Linked DNA regions of Tamandua tetradactyla. The protein of the gene in region 2 interacts with the protein of the main gene of each other region in a biochemical or structural test. Links are inferred from orthologs where the notes say so. Each region holds a gene or a part of one and is shown on either strand. Other genes may lie near its edges.

Evidence for each region.
Region 1: of the proteins of RRAD (region 2) and CAMK2G, one has a biochemical effect on the other in vitro, tested with the Homo sapiens proteins (2 studies listed by BioGRID, with this or other methods). The link is inferred for Tamandua tetradactyla from reciprocal best matches to the Homo sapiens genes RRAD and CAMK2G.

The regions. Positions count from the first base shown.
Region 1 is NC_135339.1:22,774,650-22,784,722, reverse strand, and holds the start of CAMK2G (calcium/calmodulin-dependent protein kinase type II subunit gamma), read right to left. Parts: upstream 4,793-10,073; 5' UTR 4,711-4,792; coding exon 4,646-4,710; intron 3,251-4,645; coding exon 3,156-3,250; intron 1-3,155.
Region 2 is NC_135342.1:60,614,676-60,624,990, forward strand, and holds RRAD (GTP-binding protein RAD), read right to left. Parts: upstream 4,808-10,315; 5' UTR 4,696-4,807; intron 4,639-4,695; exon of another isoform or gene 4,478-4,638; 5' UTR 4,463-4,477; coding exon 4,093-4,462; intron 3,461-4,092; coding exon 3,387-3,460; intron 3,216-3,386; coding exon 3,011-3,215; intron 2,190-3,010; coding exon 1,912-2,189; 3' UTR 859-1,911; downstream 1-858. Other genes in the region: CIAO2B (cytosolic iron-sulfur assembly component 2B), read right to left, coding at 9,822-9,919. UniProt on the Homo sapiens protein: May regulate basal voltage-dependent L-type Ca(2+) currents and be required for beta-adrenergic augmentation of Ca(2+) influx in cardiomyocytes, thereby regulating increases in heart rate and contractile force.

The sequences.
Region 1 (10,073 bases), on a different chromosome or scaffold from region 2:
GTAAAAATAAGTAAATAAATAAGGCAAAGGCTGTAACAGATTTCATACTGTTTCTGGTACTATCTCTTAGTAACGCCAAGGGTATATTCCAATATCCATCTTAGGGAAAGCAACAGAAATCCAGATAAATGTTCCAAATCCAGAGGTTTCTTATGGTTGTTCCAAGGATAAATCCTAAACTATATGTTAGCGTGAAAGGACCATTTGCCCTTCAAATGTAGCAATATGGGAAAGAGCTTTGAATATAAGCGAAGAAAGCAGAATATAAAATTTTATGCTCTACGAGGTGAAAATCTGTGTGCATATGAATAAAGATAAGAAGGGAATATGAAGATTTAAAAATAAAAAAAGACATAAGGGCTCAGGCTCCTTGGAGGGAGTGCTCTTAAATCTTAAAATAACGACTTATCATTGCCATCACCTGGCCCACTAGCTCTAACATCCAAGCCTATTTTAAATGCTTCCTTCAGCTAAGCTTGGTACCACAGGCTCAGTGAAGAGCTCCAACGCCACGTCTATTGCTTTTATGAAGCACACAGAGTGACGTTATGTGACTTTCAGTGACTTTATGCAGACAGGCCTGCAGGCAAAGACTGAGCTCGGTGTACATCCCACGAACCCACCTGCCCAGGTGGGGTCTCTGAGACCACAAAGACAAGAAGCAACGGACCAAAAGAAGGCTTCCTATCCAGATCTGACCCACCTGCCTCCTGGCCCATGCCACCACTGACGCCAAGGAGCCAAGGAGAAACAGCTCATGGCTCTCTTTCTTTCCTTTGGGTTAGCAGTACAGAGAGTCACAAATGAGAAAGAAAACAGGCAGGAGACTCAGCCAACACAATAAGCCCCTTCAGAACCTCATCGATGACCCTGGTGGGCCCTCCAGATTCCCAGACACAGAAATCCAACACCTGCGGAGCCCTAGACAGACAGACAGCGACCAGTGAAACCCAGCCCCAGCTGCTGCACCTTTATAAAATATACAGCGTAAACTGAGAGGCTGCAGGGAAGCCACGGCCTGCGCTTCCTAACCCCATGGGCACCAGCCCGTGGGCACCCTGGCCCAACCCTCTCCAGGAGCTCACACCACCCCCTTGCTCATACCTACAGCACAGCCCCCATTGCTCCCTCTATCTCCATGACAATGCCCTCCCACTCTGCCACCTCCAAACATTACTGGAACTTACAGATTCCTGACCCCTCTTCCTAGCATATGTGCCTATCAGCCAGGACCGGGCCTCTGTCCCAAAGTAATATGGCACAAAAGCAACAAAAAGGAGCTCTAGTCTTGGGTATAACCATCTCAAGAGAGGGGGAGTAACTGTCTGGAGCATATGATCCTATGCAAGAATCTTCTTCTTTAGGAACAAAATCAAAGAGAAATCAATCCTAGTCCAATTTGGGCAGGGAAAGAAAGATTACTATACGGCAAAAGGTAGGAAAAGGGTAAGGGAGGGAAAGGGACATTCGGGTGGACAGGAAAGGAGTAGAAAAGTGAAAACCCAAACCAGGCTATCATCACATCCTAGAATTTAGCTCCCAGCTGTCTCTCCTTCCCTCAACCCTAGGTCAGAAGACAGGTGAGATGAGGATAGCAAAGCATTGCCTCACTGACACTGGCCCCATCTCTGATGCCCCAGGACTCTGCCATACAGGCCTGGGGAGGTAACCATTCTCCAACCACCATGCCTGCCTGCACCGTTCACCATGGCCAGAGAACATCTGCCACTGAACCCAGCCTACACTGGCTCCCATCTACTCGAGGGGAGGAGAGCATCTGACCACCCACATATCTCTATGGCAACCACTGCCCCAGCCTCAAGGTACCCAGAGAAAAAGAAAACAAACAAGTCAACTTCATAGCCAATGTACATGAACAGCAAGTGACGGGGACTGGGTGGGAGACAGGAAGGCAAGCCCTGCTCAGGGGAACAGGGAAAGACCCTTCCAGCCAAGTGGCAGATGCAGCCTGCTGAACAGGTCCCAGGACAGCCATCAACAAGACTGAAGCCCACTGTCAGCTCTGTGGAATCTGATGGTGTCTCTGAGTGCTCGGAGGCATCTGACTACATCTCCTATGCCAGAGATTCCCATCTCAATACAGACAACAGCCATGTCTTCTTCAGGGCACTTATCCTGACTCCTGATGATTTATGGTGCCCTATTGCCCAGCCCTAATTTCTTTCTCTGAATCCCATAACATTTGTCCCCCAGCTGCACCCTGCAGCCCTTGACTCAACCCATTACATACTTTCTTCTCGCCAGACTTGCTCACAGAGCACTTTGCTCATGGCTGCGTCTACACCTATCAGATGAGGTGACTTTGGCAAGCACCCAATATGTGGTTCAGGGAGTGTACCTTCTAGGTGTGAAAGCCAGGACCCAACCCTCCTGGCCTCAGGTCCTTGGAAGGATCCCACAATCAGGCTCCAAGGCCAGGCCTTCCTCCATCCTTGAACCCTGAGGCAGTGCTGCTCTCGCCCAGACCAAGCCATGGGGGGGCGGAGGGGGGGTTCCAGGCCAGGAGGCATCACCCTCCACCCAGGACAGACTGCATCTGCTGCTGCACCGCTAACTTTGTAATTTGATCAAAAAAACAATCAAGTTCATCTGGCAGGATTTGTTCCCGAGGAGCCCTCGTCAGTAACAGCCTGCCCTGATGTTTACAGATTGCCTTCCCTTGGGAGTCTGTTCTGCCGCCTGGTGGGTAGGGGGAGGCTGGGTTTGTCAGAGCTGCTCATTTACTGCATTACCATCCTAAGTCACCACTGGGACATAGCAATTAGAATGGGCCTGGAGTGGTTACCACTGCCCCCAAAGAGGGAGGCTCCAAGTGCCCCAAATTAAGAGCTCTCTATTCTGTGTACCCCACCACTCTCCATATCCCCCACCTTCCCAAGGATCAAACTCCCTCGAGCCTTCAGGGACCACTCCTCCCTGAGGCCACCTACATCTTTTACATGCTCCTTATTCTGTCTGAGCACTTCCAGCTCCCAAAGCCACTCTTCCCCTGGCTTCAAAGTCCACCCACCCTGAATTCCAACTCTTCTCCAAGACCTAAAACACAGAACCCCTAACCCCAGCAGCATCTTCAGAAAAAAGCCAAGAACCTAGGGGACATCCCCCCAGGGAGAGGTCGAGTTGGGGCCACTCACCCCGGGCAGACAACTTCTTGGTATTGATGATTTTTGCTGCATACTCTTGCGTGGAGGTTTTCTTCACACACCTGCGGACCACAGAGAAAGCACCCCTGGAGGGAGAAGGGGAAAGAACTGGGACACAGAGCAGGGCAAAGTGACACAGACACATTTCAAGTCAAAGGACAGTGATATTCCCTTCCTCAAACCTTTAGCCAAAATTACACACCCATCCATCCCCCCCACCCCCCACACACACACCTGCGTCATGACCACCACTGTCCAACATATGGCAGGAGAATGTGGTCACTCACGACACTGAACAAATGTGGGGTAGCCTGCCAGCCCACTCCCACCTTCTCATCCAGTCTGGGCCAGAGCAGCAGTCCCAGTGCAAGCTGCACGGCGGGAACTGGTGGGCGATGCTTAAACACACACCTGCTGCATCTCACTGATAGCCCTGCAATCCCGACCAAGAAACCCAGGAGAGAGGAGGGAACACAGAGGCCCCTGTCCTTCTCCCGGCAGCAATAGTTGAGGGCAGGGGAAGGAGAGATAAGAGGGTACAATCCCCAGAGAGGGAAATCTCCCCCATCCATGGGGAAGGTGAGGAAAGTGAGACTCGAACCCCGCACGGCGGGCTTCATCCAACTGCATCCCGGCTCAACTGACAGCAGGGAAAGAGGAAATGATATTGGTCGCAGACGTCAACAACTCCCCATCCCCATATTTTGCTCTACGCCCTCGCCCCCCCCCCCCCAATGGGAACGGGCACTCTCCAGCTCTGGAAGCGTCTAGGGGGGCGGGCGGGGCGGGGGCTGCAGTGGCCGGGCTCGGCGCCGCGGGTGGGGGTGGGGGGGCCCGGGCTGCTGCAGCGGCCAGCTCAGTGCAGAGGGGAGGGGGATGCTGCGGCTGCGGCGCGCGGCTCCCGGGACCACTGCAGGGATGGGGGGAGGGGACGGGGGTGCTGCAGCACTGTCCAGCAGCGGGGTTGGGATCCTGGAAGCAGCACTGGCGGGGGGCGGGGCCGGGCACCAAACATCCTCCCCCCACACACACCCTGGCACCGCAGCGGGGTTGGAGCTGCAGGGCTGGGGAGGGTCTTGAGTGCCAGGCGCGTGGGACATGGGGACAGGGTAGAGTGAGCTCTTGAGCAGGGTCGGGAGGGGACGACAAGCAGGCCGGGTCCGGGAGGGGGAGCGCCTAAAGGGTGCGGGAGGGGCGGGGCTGGAGGGCGCCCAGGAGCGGTCCGGGGGCTGCAGTCCCCGAGGCAGCGTGGGGTGCAGCAGTCCCGGCAGCTGCTGCAGGGCGCGGAGGGGGCTGCTGGGCAGGGGCCTGGGGGTGAGGGCGCCCTGGAGGCGGCGGGCGGGAAAGGCGGGGGGTGGGGCAGGCCGAGGGGGCGCCGCAGCGGCCGGTGCAGGGCCGGGGGGGCGGGGCGAGAAGCCCGCATAGTGCCCCGGCGACCGGGGCAGGTTCGGGGGCCGCGGCGCGCTGCGGGCGGGCCGTACTTGCCGAGCTCCTCGAAGAGCTGGTAGTCGTCGGTGAAGCGGGTGCAGGTGGCGGTGGTGGCCATGCTGGCGGGCGGGCGGACGCGGCAGTGCAGCCCGCGCCGACGTCGGTGCACAGTCACCGCCGCCCGGCCGAGGGAGCAAGAGGAGGAGACGGGGCTGAGCCCGGCAGCACCGCGAGACTTTACCGGGGAGAGCGAGGGAGGGAGGGACACCCCCGCGCCCGCCCGCCTGCCCGCCCCGCCCCCAGCCCCGCCGGCCCCCCGCCCGGCCCCCGGACCGCCCCCGGGGTGGGGCCTCCCGCTGCCGGCCCCGCCCCGCCCCGGGTGCCGCCCTGGCAGAGCCGGGCGTGCACTGGAGCCGCCGGGAGGGGGAGGCTCAGCCCCAGGCCGCCCAAGGCGTAGGGAGCTAAAAGGTTTGCGCCCTATGGACTCATTCCCGGGCGGACCCTGCATGGGCTTGGGAATGTGCGCGCGAGGGTGTGTGTGTAGGGGGGCTGGACTACCGAGCTTCTTGAGGGACCCCACACACGAAATCCTAAAACCCCAGCCCGGCTCACATGATGTGCAGAGGGGGCCAAGGTCAAAGAGCCTCTGTCAGCCTGCATACTCGGGGGACGCCCCCCAGCCAGTGCAGAGCTATCTCCCAGCAGCCTACCCTCAGGCAGCTGACCGTCTAGACTTGAGCAAGCATCAGGGCCATTATTAGTAGAAACCCTTCAGGCACAGTTTGATCAGGGACACCAAGGGAAGAGGGAGTGCAAGGTTGCAGGTGAAACTGTGCCTTAGAGATGAGAGAAGGATCTCTTTCAAACTAATAGTGAAAGGGATGAAGTGGAAAAGAATAGAAAAGGATTTGTGCATGGAGATAAAACAGCAAGTGCAAAGGAGAAAACATTACCATTTTCTTGCAGAACACCTCATTCTTTTACCTTATGGCACTATCACTTTTTGTAATGGTAACATTTATAGGTATGAGAAGCAGGAGAACTAGAGTACAGTTGTTCAAAGAGTGAACTCTGGAGTCAGACTGCCTGGCTTAGAGTTCTGGGCAATTCACTGACCAGCTGTGCGACCTTGGGCAAGTCATTTAATCTTTCTGTGCCTCGATTATCAGTCTCTTAGGTTTGTAAGCATTAAATGCATTGAATCAGGTAAAACACTTAGAATAGGACCTGGTACCTAATCAAAACTATGTGAGTCTTAGCTATTATTATTTGTTTAATATTTGCCTTCTCACTAAATTGTAGGCTCAGATAAGGCAGGGCCTCTGCCTGCTTTGTTCATCATTGTATAATCAGCCCCAGACCCTCAATAAATATTTGTGGAATGAAAGGGCTCCTCAGGGCACCTGCAGAGGGAGTTGCCACCCCTTCCTTTGTCCTCAGAGGGTGGTGTGACAGAGGCACAAAACTGTCTTGGTGGAGGAGAAACGGGCTGGGTGGATTCCCAGCCTGCCCCTGCAGCTGTACCCCGATTTGGGGGCCAGCCCTAATTTGGCAGGCAGGAGTTCATGCCAACTGCTGCAGCTCAGTCTTGATTACAGCAGGATGCCCACCGGGAGTTGGGCCTCCATTGTCAGCAGCTCTGCTCTGCCAGAGGAGGTAGCTGAGAGTCTGAGAGGCATCCCAAGCCTTCCTGCCTCCCCAAGGGGGGTGGGTGGGGCAAAACTCCCAGAGAGGGCTCCTCTCCTTTCCTTACCCAGCAGCCCTGGGAATTGGTTGGCGACCAGACTGCCAGGTGGGGGCAATCAGGGAATAGAAGGGAATGGAGCCTGAGAGGAAAAGCATGAAGAGATTTCCTGGGAGGAGGGCAGGGAGGGCCAAGAGAAAGGGTAGGGGTGACAGAGCACCAGGCCCCACCCCTCCCCAGGGCAAAAGGAAGCAGAGCAGTGGGGAGCAAGGCCACTTCCTATCTTGAAGCACCAGGGTGAGAGCCAGGTCGGTCCCAAGTCCAGGTGTGGGAAAGAGCAATCTGGGTATATGTATATATATATGGATGAGGGTAATTCTTGAGTTTCTGTCATCCACCTTAAAAGCAGAAGGGACAGCTAGTTGGCCTGGACTCCAGAAGTGGAGGCAGCAGTCTCCAACTGTGGGTCAACATCAGGAACACAACTCTGGGGGCTGCACACCAGTTCATCCTCAGTGTGCCCTTAGCCAGAGCTCAAGGTAACCGGCCAACTGGAGCTGGTCCTTGAAACTTTATATTCATGAATGTGAGGAATCGGATGAGGTCAGAACAAGCACAGATTAGGGCTGCCGTGGGGTCCCCTGAGTGTTTCCCAAGGGAAAATGTAAGGCAGAGCTAAGACCATGACCCTGACTGCCATGAGTGGGGACATCGCCTCCTCACTTGGGGATAAGGATTCCATGCTGAGTATTGCAGGGCAACCATTTTGCATTGAGTGTATGGGTAAAGGGAAGAGCGATGAGAAAGACATTGGGGTGATGCCTTGGACATGACTCCCGAGACTGTAGGTGGAGCGAGCTGCCTTTCCTTGAGTATTTAATCAGTTGCCTACTATGTGCTTGGCACTGCCTCTTATTTTGCGAATCATCCAAATAGGGTGGACAGTTAGAATCCACGAAATGAGAAACGCAATCCATTCTCTCCTTGTCCCTCTTCTGTCTCACTTCTCCCTCCCTCCCTCACTACTTCTCCCGACAGCTCAGACGTTTTGGAGCAGCCCATAGACTGCTCTGTGTGTACACACAAACACACACTCACATACACCCTCCTGATCCCCGCTGCTGAAGCACCCACACAACCTACGGCTACCCCACAGCAATTAGAAGGAAGATACACATAAATAATGACGGCTCATCAGCTCCCTGCGTATCAGTATCTATGGCAACCTCCTGGGGTCCGCCGGCTGCGCTGTTCCGGTTGCAGCCGGTCCCCTGGGCAGCGCTAGCGCTCAGGCCGTGCCCACAGCGCGGGGAACAGAGAATTAAACAGGAAATTGATGCCCTGATAATCCCCCAAGGGCCCCGCTGGGTGGGACCCTCCTTATTCTGTAGATCCTTCTTGAAGGCTCTGGACGTTATACCCGAGCCCCACCAACGACAGAAGCTTCCCTCCCTAATTTCGGAATGTAATTTTTAGGGGAGAAGCATACTTACTCTTCAGACTGGAAGAAATGAGGCAGGTTTCATGGCAGGGGGGCTGAAGTCCTGGGAAGGCGACAAGAGATGCCCACTCGTTGGGGGATGCTGTAAAATAAATCCCCAAGGGAATTCAGTCTTGAGTATCCTCCGGGGGTTTTCAGTTGCTATTCCACAGAACCCTAGAAACTACAGTCATGTCTCAGCATCTACCCAAAACGTATGTTGGGGTTCTACATTAGATGTTGCTGGAGAAAAGAGCCCCTGGCCCAAAAGGAGTTTGAAACCCACTCCGCCGGTAGCTTCTGGGGTCCCCTCCAACCCCCTGACTGGAGGGGGAGTGGGGGAGGGGAAGCGGGGGGAGGGCAAGGCCTCCCTCTGAGATGCTGAGATTTCAATCAGCGGTGAGGCACTTGAAATCAGAGAGGAGGTTGGACAAATGCTGTAGCATTTGGTGTGAAACGCTGAGGAGTGAGGTCCGAGGTGTTGGGAATGAAGAGGTGAGGTGGGAATTCCCGGTGCGCTGTAGGCGCGTGTAATGCCACTAGCGGGTATTAAGAGTGAGGGGCAGAGGGGCTGGCAGGGAGGGACCCCATTTGTCCAGCCAGAGGGAAGGTTCTGGAGGGCACCCCCGTCGCTGTCTTCCCGCCCCCAAGTCCAGGGCTGGGCTCTCTTTGCCTCTCGACCCCTCCTTTCTGGCCATACACTGGGAGCAGCTCGTAGGTAGGGAGTATCTGATCATTCTTATCTCCGACCCTCAGCACGCTGCCTGGCATACAGGAAACGCTCAATAAATATCTGTGGAATGAAGTATTGGGGGTAATGGGCTGAAATATTTGTGGCGAAGATGTAGCACTGGTGAGGGGGCGACAGAGCGGTCCCCGGAGGCAAGAGGGCCATGCTGAGGTAAGCTCCCGACCACCTGCACTGCGGGCAGGAGCCGGCGGTCGCCGCCGGGAAGAGCGGTGTGGCGCGCCCTCTGGTGGGCAGTTGGGAGGCGCGCAGGGAGCTGCGAGCGAGCGTGGGGAAACTACAACAGGAGAGAATGCTCCAGGAGCGCATTCTCCTGGAGCATTCCTTGTGAGGCGAGGCCACCCAAGCGGTAAGCATAAGTGATCCCTTTTAACCCTCACCACCACCCTATGAGTGCAGCGCTATCAGGCCTTTTACAGAGGAGGAGGCTGAAGTTTAGAAAGGTGAAGTTACTTGCCCAGGACAAATAGCTAGTAAGTGGTAGGACAGGGACAATGCGAAGGAAGGGAAGAGGATAGAAAGAGATATGGGGAGGGGGGTCTTGTACATGACATAGGGGGACAGTTCATATGTGCTCATTGGAATCTTAAACCCGACATGGACCTATCCCACCTCTAGTTGCAGCCCTGAATCTGGGAACTTACTCAGAGAGGACATCCATATCCATCCATTCATTCTACAGAGCACTTCCTATAGCCCACTCACCTGGGAAGCAGAAGAGAACAATCAGAAAAATATCCTGTCCCCATGAAGCTTATACTCCTGCAGGCAGTCAACGGACACAGTTAATTTTTAGACTGGAGTAAGCTTTATGGTGTAAAAAAAAAATGGATTGAGAGTGACTGGGGTAGGTGGGGTGGAGAATTTCTTTAACTGAGGTGCTCAGACATAGCTGCTTTCCAGGGAGACCTCAATGATGATTCGAAGCTCTGGGGCAAAAACATTGCTGGGAGAAGTATCAGCTGTGCAGAGGCCTGAGAGGGACGCGGTCTCCCGTATTCAAGGGTGCACAATGAAGGCTGGTGTGGGCAAAGCAGGGTGGGCAAGGGGGAGGCAGTAGGAGAGAGGACCTGGAGGCCCTGACCCCTAAAACATCCTGCCCTGTGCAACTACCCTAAAGCTCCTGCTGTGACTGGGAGTCCACAAGGGCAGGTTGCCTCCACACCCAGGCCATTTAGACAAGTACCTCCCCACCCTGGGCAAGCTTCAGGCCTAAATACTATAGGGGAAAGATGGGCCAGAAATAGGTCCTGCCTTAAAGAAGCTTTAGAGCTTTATTCACTGGGGGCAAGAAGACAAGCACAACCAAAAACGATGATACAAGCCTAAATATTCGTATAGTAGAGTCAGCCCCTAGATCTTTGTACAAATGGTTGCCTCTCCTGCGCTTCCCTCCCCTGTTTGCCTTCCTGCCAGGTCTCTCCTCAAGCATCAATCTCTCCCAATAGCCTTCCTTAGCCTCTTGACTAGATCAAATCCCTGTAATGACAGCTCGGTAGTACCACCACCCTTTCTTCAAAGCACTCATCCCAAATGCGATTTTACATGTGTTTGGAGCACTATGGACCC
Region 2 (10,315 bases):
ACAGGCTGAATGCCTGCCTCAGAGTCACTCAGGCAGCCCAGCCAGGAATGGTGGGGGTGGGGATGCTGAGGAATCTCACGTGATGAGCTCCTACTATGCAGCAGGCACTGCTCTGAGCACATAACTCATTACTCCACCTGCTCCCATCATCTGAAGGGGTCATCACCCCTATGTCGCATGCTGGGGTGCAGAGAGGATAAGTATGCCCAGAGACACACAGCAGTAAAAATGGCAGAGCCAGGAAGCCCTGGGTTCATCTTGAGGACTCAGATTATCACCTCCTGGGAGAAAACCACGCCCTCCACATGCCCCAGGGTGTGCTGGGGTGCGGATTGTTCCCAGGGAGCAGCAACAGCTTTGAAACATTAAACAATGCCCTCGGTGGGGGTGGGAGGCGGTTAGTCTCAGAGGGACCCCACTTGCACACACTGAGGGGCCGCCCTCCTGCCCCCTCCCATCTCAGTTGCACTCAGGGTTCTGCCCAGGTTGTGGGCACTCGCAGAGGTTTGTGAATAAGTTCCACTATTGAAAGGACGTGAGGACCCTGGCCCAGCACCTTCTCAAATGCAGTCCGCACCTCATCCAGAGCTGCCTCCAGGCTTTGGAAATGGGCCGATCTGGACAGCAGCACCCCCTCAGTCATTTCCTGCCCATGTGACCTTAGACTTCAGTTCCCCAACTGCCATTGCCCAATAGTCTTGCTTGTTCTTGAAACTGTGTAAGTAACTCTTAATAGGCACCCTTTGCCAAGAAGGGCTGGGGAGGGGGGCCGGGCCTGGGATGAGGGTGGGGGGGATGGCGGGACAGGGGTGGTGGGGTGGGAATGGGGGAGTAGGCATGCTCCAGTTATGCACGTGCATGTATTCTTACACAAATGCAAAGTCTCTTATTCCAGGCCAGGCAGACTCCAGGGAGCTGCTCCCGCCAGAACCAAATTAGCCAATGTTGAGCATGAGGTATTTTGGAAAAGAACAGCGAGGGCCCCTTCAGAAGCCCAGTCCCAGCCAGGTAGAAAGGGTGGGGGGCTTCAGAATCAAGTCTGCCTGAGTGCGCCTCCCTCATCCCCACCCTGGGAAAAGCAGCTGGTCTCCTTTCCTAGCTGGGGAGTCTCTGGAATCTTCCACAGACCCTCAGGATGGCGCAGCACAGAGACAACAGTCTGGAGTCAAAACCAGGGTTCTTATCTGGCTGTAAAATCTGAGACAGGGCATAACCGCTCATGCAGACTCAGTTTCCCTTAGATGCAGTGGGGTGACTTGAACTGGATCATCTGAGCCATGCCAGGGGAAGATCCAGATAATAGGGGCTGAGAAGAGTTTGTATCTCCTCCTGATGCATCAACCCCCAGCAGGCCGGGCCCCACATCTGCTCCCTCTTCCCCAGCTGCCTAAGCCTGGCCTAACCCTTAGGACAGTCAAAGCCACACACTGGGGTGACTCGGCAAGTCCCCGTCCCTCAACTTCGGGAGCTTTCCTGCTCCTGCTGCCACCAGATAAGAAGAAACAAGTAGTCAACAACACTGACCTATCAAGAAATAATCTTTATTACAAAAACCTGCATGTAAACAAATAGCCACCACGCTGAACAGCCTCCCTCCCTCCAGGGTGTGGAGGGAGGTGGGAGGTCAGGTCTTCTCCCCAAGCACAGGCCTGGCCCTTGGGCTGGGCTCTGGCTTCTGCCTTGGGATGCGCATGGGCCTGCATGCACATCTCTGCGGGGCCTGGCCCTCCGTGGCCACTGGACACCGCTTCCCTGGACAGCACTGTCTGTCTGTCCACGTCCGTGAGGTGGGAGTGCTGGCAACTCCAAAGGGTCCAGAGGCTGGTCGGGCCGAGGCACCGAGGGCGGTTGGCTGGGCCGGCCCACCGACCCGCCCATCTGTCTGCCCCCTGCAGGGAGTGCCTGTGGGGCCTAGAGGACCGAGAGGTCATGGCAGGATTTGGACTTGGCGCGAAAGGCCATCTTGCGGCTGTTGCGGGCCACGATGCGGCCCAGGAAGCGCTTGGCCTTCTTGCCGAGGCTCTCCCGCCGCCGGGTGCCGGCCTGCCGCCGGGCATTCGTCTCTTTGCTGTCCCTGCGCAGGCGGATCTGGCGCACGATGCCCTCGAACAGCGCCTGGACGTTGTGGTGCAGCGCCGCCGATGTCTCAATGAATTTGCAGTCAAAGACCACAGCGCAGGCACGGCCCTCTAGCGTGGGTGGGGGGAGGACAGGCAAGCGCGGGTGAACAAAGGGTGTGTGGGTGAGGGACTGCTTGACCCCCAGCCACCCACAGCTGCTGTCACTCAGGGATCTGTGGGCCAGGGAAAGGGGAACCCCAGGGTCCTCCCCAGGAACACGGAGACACCCAGCTCCTGTGGTGGGGCTCCTGAGCACAGCTGTGTCACTCAGCAGGTGAAGGGCCTGTGTTTAGGGAGCCCAGGAGCCCGCAAAAGGAGATTCACTGCTCAAAATAATTTGATGTCTGGTTTTTAAACAGAAGTGCTACAGCAGTCAACACAGGAAAATAAGAACTTCGTTGGACTGCTTGGTGCTCGTTTTACGATTTGACATTATGACCCAGTGCAATGGGGGCAATGTCACCATGTCACTGCTGGGTTCCTCTGAGTGGGCTGGGTTCTAGGGCACATGAGGAGGACGCTGAGCCCGAGAGGCAAGGGCTATCCCCAGGGATAAGCAAACCCCAAGACATGTCCAGGCTGTAATCCCAATCTCTGCATTCCTGACCTGGTCCCCTCACCTGTTAGGCAAAGGACCAAAAGATACAGGAGAGGAGGGCTCTGAAGTGCCCTAGCTCAGCACCCAGCAGCCTGCTCCCCTATTGCAATTGGTCCTTTCCCCAGGCCTCTCAGGCAGCAGCTCCCTCACCCCCACTCTGAGCTTTCTTTCTGAACATTTTTAGCCGCTGATGATCCCCAGAGACTCGGCCTGAGCCAAAGCTGGAAGGACCACAACCCAGTTGGGATCTCCTTTCTTTAACCTTCCAACCCATGCCCTACTCCCTGCTCACCATCCACGGAGACCTCACGAGAGCGCACCAGGTCACTCTTGTTGCCCACAAGGATGATGGGCACGTCGTCTGCCTGCCGTGCCCGCCGCAACTGGACCCGCAGCTCTGAGGCCTTTTCAAAGCTGCCTTTATCCGTCACTGAGTATACGATGATATATGCATCCCCCATGGCCATGAAGTGGCCGGGCATCCAGCGGTCCCCATCCTGGAGAATACACACACACACACACACACACACACACACACACACACACACACACACGCACAGGTCTGCTCAGCTGTCCCCAGGCTCTGGCCACCAGCCCATCACTCCATGTTGCCCCCTACCCCAGCCCACCTCTCCCACCCCTGCCCTAGGCCTCAGCCTGCATCCTACCTGCTCCCAAATATCATAGACTATGAGGGAGGCCTCTTCTCCGTCCACTGTGATAGAGCGATCGTATGTGTATCCTAGGCAGGAGACCGGTAGTACGTTACCTGCTGGCTGCCAAAAGCCCCCAGCACCAGATTCCCTGTTCTGCCACACCCCCAGCTCCTCCCCAGGGCCCCCACTTGCAGATGGCTGCCACGTTCTTCCTGGTCCTGCAGAGTCCCCAGGGCAGGCAGACAGAAGTGACAGGGATGGGGGTAGAGAGAGACCCCCACCATCACCAAGCTAGCAATGGCCTGAGCTGCCACCCCAGGCCCAGATACCCCACTCATCTAGATACCTCCATCTAGATACTCCGAAGCTAGCAATGGCCTTAGCTGCCAGTCAGGTTCTCCCCACCCACCTGCTGCCTGGGCCCTGGAGCGACTCTGACCACAGTGACCAGAGTTAGAATATCGACTGTCACGCCCTGGGGGTCTTGGCCACCTAAGGCTCTCTCCTAGGCACGCCCTCTGGCTGTCCTGTCCCTGTGCCCCCTCCCATCATGCAGAGCAATTCTTGATGTTCCCCTATTCAGGGCTGGGAGTACCTTCTTAGTTCCGCAGCTGTGAAGTGGTGGGTAGGGCAGAATCCCACAGCATTTGCCCATTTTTGCCTGCCCCGTGCTCCCAGCCCTGACCCTGGGGTTTGCCTTGCTTAACCGTCCCTTCACCTGCGGCCTCTGCCTCAGGTCCGTCTTCTACACCACCGAAGATGCGCGCCAGGGCGCTCTTGCCCACGCCAGGTGCCCCCAGCAGCAGCACCTTGTAGACGCTCTCCTCTGAGTCGCTGCCCCCGGTGCTAAGCGAGTCGGAGGAGCCCTCAGGCCAGGCCAGCCTGGGACCCTCTGTCCCGGTCCCGGCCGCCACTGCCGTCAGGGCGCCGGGAGCCAGGGCGGCCTGCAGGTCGCGCTCGTCCACCGGCATGCTCCGGCGGTGCATCGGGGGCGCGGGGCCCCAGGGTGTGCTGCCCCGACGGCGCTCGCGCTCTCGGCCTCCGCCGCGGCTCCCGCCCGCTCCACTGCCGCCGCCATTCAGAGTCATCGCGTCCGACACTAGCTGGGGGACCGGGGACAGGGATGGCCGCGTGAGCCGCGGTGCAGCTGGGGTGGGAGACCCGACCCGGGACCCGTCTGCGCAATCCCGAATCAGACAAGATGCTCAGTGGCCGGCACCTGCCACAGTCCCCTCCTAGCCCTAAGGTCCCTGCGCCCCTACCCGTCCATCCGCAGCCCAGACGGTGCGGCCACCCCACCCCGCTCCGCCACGACACTCACCCACTAGCACACGGAAGCGGTCAGGACCCGGACCCGGGCTCGGACACAGCTTGCTCGCAGACTTGGGCTTGGTCACTCCGACCCTCGCCGCTGCCGCCGCCGCCGCTTTCTCAGCCCGCTCTGGGTCGCGGCTCCAGCGCCATCTATTTAAGCCTCCCCCCGCCCCCGCGCCCGCCCAGGCGCCCGCCCCCGCCCTGGTCCGCATGGATGCGGGGACAGACCCGGGCTGACGTGTCCACCCCCACCCCAGGGGAATCCCCATGCTCCTCCCAGGCCTCCGGACCCACCGAGACCCCGCCCCGGCCGCCAGAGGTGGGTTGCGTTAAAGCTGTCTTGGAATACCCGGGCGGCAGGGAGCAGCTGTCTGAGGGGCGGGAGGAGGGGGGAAGGGATGGGGAGTGTGTGAACCTCGCGGGGTAGGGGTGGGTTGTCATCAAGTTGAGGGGGATTGGAAGGGGTGGAAGCGCCCCTTGGTGGTGGGGCTGCCAGACCAACCAAGTGCCACAGCTTGCCTCTGGGGAAGTATTGGGTCTGGTTCCTTACGAGTGAATTTACCCTACTTCTCCCCCCCAGTCCCTGTTTGTAGCCCAATCTCTGGCTGGAGAGATTTCACCCTACTCTATCCTGTGACACCCACTCCCCACTGGCCTAGACACAAGCTAGAATTTACAGATCCTAACTATGGGCTTCTAACCTTAACACCAACTAGTCCTTCTCACCCCCCTGGCCTCAGCAGCAGTCCTCTCTAATGAGCCTGCCGTTCAGAGTGAGGGTTTGTGCCACCCCTTAAGTCCTGGGTGAGCACAAAGGAAGCAGACAGAGTATTATAGGTAGAAGTGCTTGAATCCTGGGGAGGGGACACGGGGTCCAGAGAAGGGAAAGGATGAACTCAGTCCGCAACTACCCTCCCCCCCAGCACCCTCCAAGCAGCTGCCAGCAACTCCACTAAAAATACCTGACTCTGGCTCTGCCCCTGGTCATTCTGCTCCTGGCCTGGAGGTTGCCCAGAACTGGGGAAATCCAGGCCGATGGGAATCGATGCCAGCAGAAATGGATAGGGCTGGCTGTGGCCACTTTTAAATCTTTCCTCTTTCCCTCTAGCCCATCTGAGCCTCCTGCTCAGGGCACATCCCAGAGCCTAGAGATTCAGACTCCTACCTAGGAAGGGCCTGATGGCAGAGTATGGCCAAGGGGAATGGGGGTCTTAGCTACCGCTGCCCAGAGTTCACCCTCTCTCAGACCTAGGGTAGGGGCCGGGGGCACAGGGGGGAGAGGATGTCCTGGCTCTGCCTCCAGCCTACTACATCTTGCTTCTGTCCCTGCCTCAGGTTGCCCTGCTGTAAATTGGGCATCATGACCCATCATGACTCATCTTGGGTGGGTGAAGATTGGGGTCAGGCAGGGGAGATGCTTTGCGATAGGACCCTGCTCTCAGACTCTGTAGTTTGATTGTGACAAAGGGTGATGGGGGTGTGGGACACCCACGCAGGGCTCAGGTGACATCATGGACCCTGGTGAGCTGTTGTAGGTTGTCGTGGAGACCTGGGTCTGGCTCTCTGGCTGGTACATCAGTTTCCTTGGCAACACCTGAGGAGGCCTTGGATTGAGGAGTGCCTGACTGGGCAAGTGTTCAGGGGCTCATGTGGGTTCCTCTTGTTTTTGAAGTCCCCAAGGTAGGCCAGAGCTGGGCTGAGAGCTGGCCTGCCCATTTGTGTCCCCCCCCCCCCCCCACCATGGTCCTGGAGGATCTTGGGGGTAGCCCCAGCTCTAGTCTCCTAGATGAAGTCCAGTGACAAGAGGGAGTCATGGGGCCAGGCCTGTGAAAAGACAAAGTCTCAAGATTCAGCAGACCCCTTCCCATCAGTAATCCTAGATAGGGTGCTTATACCCTCTCACACTCACCCCACACCTGGCTGGGCTACTGGAAAGGGCCTCTGATTGTCGGGCAGAGGTGGGTGTGGGGCATAGCCATGGCTCTTCCCAGCAGGGAGCCATGCAAGGAAACTGGGCTGAGTTTCCCCTCCTATCATCTGAGCTCGTGACCTCAGCAGTGTTTCTTCATTGCCAAGGGAACTGCAACCACATGCGGCCACTCAGGCCCCAGGCATTCAGGTGGCTGCCCCAACAGGCCACAGAGACACCCTCCACAAGCCTAGGTATAGCTACAGGCCCCAGGGGCCAAGACCAGGACATGACCTTGAGACATTCCCCTCTTCCCATTGCTTGGTTCTTTCAGCTCTCTGGGCTGAGCTTAGCTGCCCAGGAGCAAACTGAGGCTGAAACATACCCAAGCCAAGGTGGGGAAAAGAGCTTGAGATATCGGTGGCCTAGAGGTCCCCACCTCTCCAATCTCTGTGGAGTCAGACAGCCTGGACTTCAAATCCAAGCTCTGTCCCTTGCTAGCTGTTTCACCACTGCCCATTTATCTTCTCTGAGCCTCAGTTTTCTTCTGGGTAGAACAGGGATCATAATACCTTCACAGAGTTGTTATGAAGCATAAATAATATGACATTCAGAGGTAAAGAGACTGATATAGGCCTGGCAGGAAGGAGTATCTCAGTAAAAACACTATTATTATCCATAGTTGGACAATCAATATGTGGAGGCCCTCCCACTTTCCTCAGCTGTGACCCCAGGAGAAGAACAGAGGTACAGAAGAGCAGGTACCTATCTCCCATCCCCCTACTCACCCCCTCTCTGGGGGATCCCACATCCTGCTCCCTCCCTCAAGTAGCAAAATATTGCAAAGGGGAACTTGGATGGGTTTCAGTATCTGCCCTCCCAACCACCCCCCTGAAGACCTCTGAGGCAGGATGAAAAGCAAAAAGAGACACGGGTGGGCATATTCATACCTGTCACCTTTTGCTTGGTCAACCCCATTTAGTTCTGATTTGTTGTTCCCATTTCGTAGACATGGTAACTGAAGCCTGAGAGGTCACTGACCAGAAGGAGCAGAGCCAGGCACAGCTGGTGGAGGGTGTTTCAGGGGCCTTAAACCTCACCATCCCCCTCTACCAGGGGCTGGAGTTCCAGAAAACTCCCTGGACGCTGGCCCAGGATGCACACATGGTGTTCCAGCAGGCAGCCAGGGGCCAGGCACGGATGAGTCAATATTAACAAGAGGACTGACAGGCCAGCTGTGGCATGAGCAGTTTGTCGTCCCTTGCCCACCATGATCAGATTGCTAGAAGGGCCAGCTGAGTGACTCAGTCACACCTGCCTCCCTCATGAACCATCGTCCCAGCTGAACACAGCCACCACGGCCACCTCAGACAGACCAGAGCTGTCAGCACAGAGGTGCACACGTGGTGGGGCACACATGGAGGGGTCTGGTAGTCAGGAAGGCTCTATGGGACTGGCAGAGCCCCAGCTGAGCACCTTCCTCTTTGGAGCACTCACCTTCCTCCTTTGCGAAAATGGGAGCAGGATGCTCAGAAGATCCTGAAATACGCTCAGTTCCATTTCACATCTCCACACAGCAGATCCAGGTGACTGCCATTACAGATGAAGAAACGAAACTGTGGCTTCACCTCTTGCTTGGACCACCAGATGCAGAGTCCCTCCCTCCTGGGTGGCATTAGTAGTCCAGGTGGGTGGGCCTAGGCCCTCTCATCAAGGTGACAGCGCCCCCTGCCAGCTGAGCAGCGCCCACCAAACTGCTCAGGTCCCTCTTTAAATTACTTATTCCAGAAGCAGATTTCCTCACTTGCAAAATGGGGATAAAAAAAAAAGCAACTGCCACACAGGGCTGGATCAAGGGTCTACTGACTAGATAGTAAGTATAAAGTATCAGCCCAGTGTGCGCTCTCAGGACAGGCTTGACGTCATCAGCCAGCCCTCAGAACAGACAGACCTCTACGATCACATCCGACCCTCAGCAGAAATGCAGTGAAGCAAAGCAAGACTTCTTAATATTCCCATTTATCTTCAGAGAGAAACTGAGGCAGGGAATCATGGCCACAGAGCCTAACTGGCTGAGACAAAATCTCAGCCCCATGGTCTGTCCTGGTGACCAGCTGTGTCCTGGGCACAGGGCCAGTGGGAGGCAGAGGCCCAGAACTGAGCACATACCCTTGTGGTGCTGAGCTTCCTTCATCGCAGCACCTGCCGTGACACACATCTCCAGGCACTGAAGGAGAGGGTGCCTCGTGTTTCTTTTAACAGAAAAATCAGATGTCACTGCCTTGACCAGAGGACCAGACTGAGTATCACCAATGGCAAAGCAAGGTGGCATTACGCACATACTGGTGGATGCTGAAGGACCCACAACACACTCCTGGACAGGGTTCTTGTCAAAAAACTCAAACCCAAATTCATTCAGGCCTTTAGACCAACTTCAGGTTACAGGAAACACAGGTGACCAAGGAAAATATTAGACTGAAGGACTTTCTAGGACAACTGGACTGGACTTTGCAAAAAAGTAACTGTCAAGAAAGACACAAAAAAGTAAGGGACAGGATAGGAGGAGACAGTTCTTGAAGAGGCTAAAGAGCCTAACAACCAAACACGGTCATATGAGAATTTCTATTGGAGTCTGATAAAAAAAAAATCCATGTATGAAATTTTAGGGAAATTTGTATCTGGACTACATATTAGATGGTATTGGGGAATTGTTCATAATTTTGGCCAGGTGACAGTACTGTGGTTGTAAAGGCTTTCTCATAGGAGTGCAGGACAGAGTACGTAGAAGGAAAGGGTCATGTCTTTACAGCTCTCTCTCAAATTCTACTTATATACACACATTAAAAAAGCAAATGTTGCAACATATTAACAACCATTGAATATAGGTGATGGGTATACAGGTCTGATCACTACTATTCACTATCCTTTCGATGTTTTGTACACTTGCAACTTTTCCTAGTCCAAACAATGGGAGAAATTTAAAATATCAATAAACTGTTCATCACTGAATTCTGGATAGGCTCATACCCCTCCCAAGCCCTGAGTGACCCCATTTGATGAAAGACTCTAAGGCATGCTTGGAAATGAATATAAATTAAGAGTTTATTACAAAATGCAAAATGTTAAGTTTCCCATTGTCAGTGATTCCAGAAAACAAGGCCATGAGCCCTGGGTAGAGCTGTGGCCCAGACAGAGGTATGTGGGCTGGGAGCCAAAAGCCAAGTTCAGGAACGGGCTGACAGGCACTGGTTCACAACCTCCAGTAGGTGGGTGTTCTCCAGGGCAGCTGCTACTCGCTCCTTATCGGCAAGCTGCTTGTTCACTGGATGGGAAGGAGAGAGAGTCAAAGTGAGGTTCTGGCCATGCTGCTAGTCAAGTCCCACCTCTGAGCCTTTGTATGAGCTACGCCCAACCAGTAAAGTCCTCCTGTTGCCTCTTTGCCAGGACCCTCAGCCTCGATTAGGCTATTTCAACCACCTGAACCTACAACAATCCCACTTTCTTGGAACCCTTCCCACCTGATTGCTCATTCTGCCTCCTGCATTCCTGAAGCATGGGCTCGTGTACTATTACTGGAGAGTAGAAGAGGGACGAGGTAAGCACAGTCAGGCCAGCTTCCCTGAAGAGTGTCTGGCAATTTCACCCACCCAGGCTCCCCTGGATCTTGCCCTATAAACCACTATGGCAAGAAGGAAGCCTCAGAAAGCTTAGGGTCCCA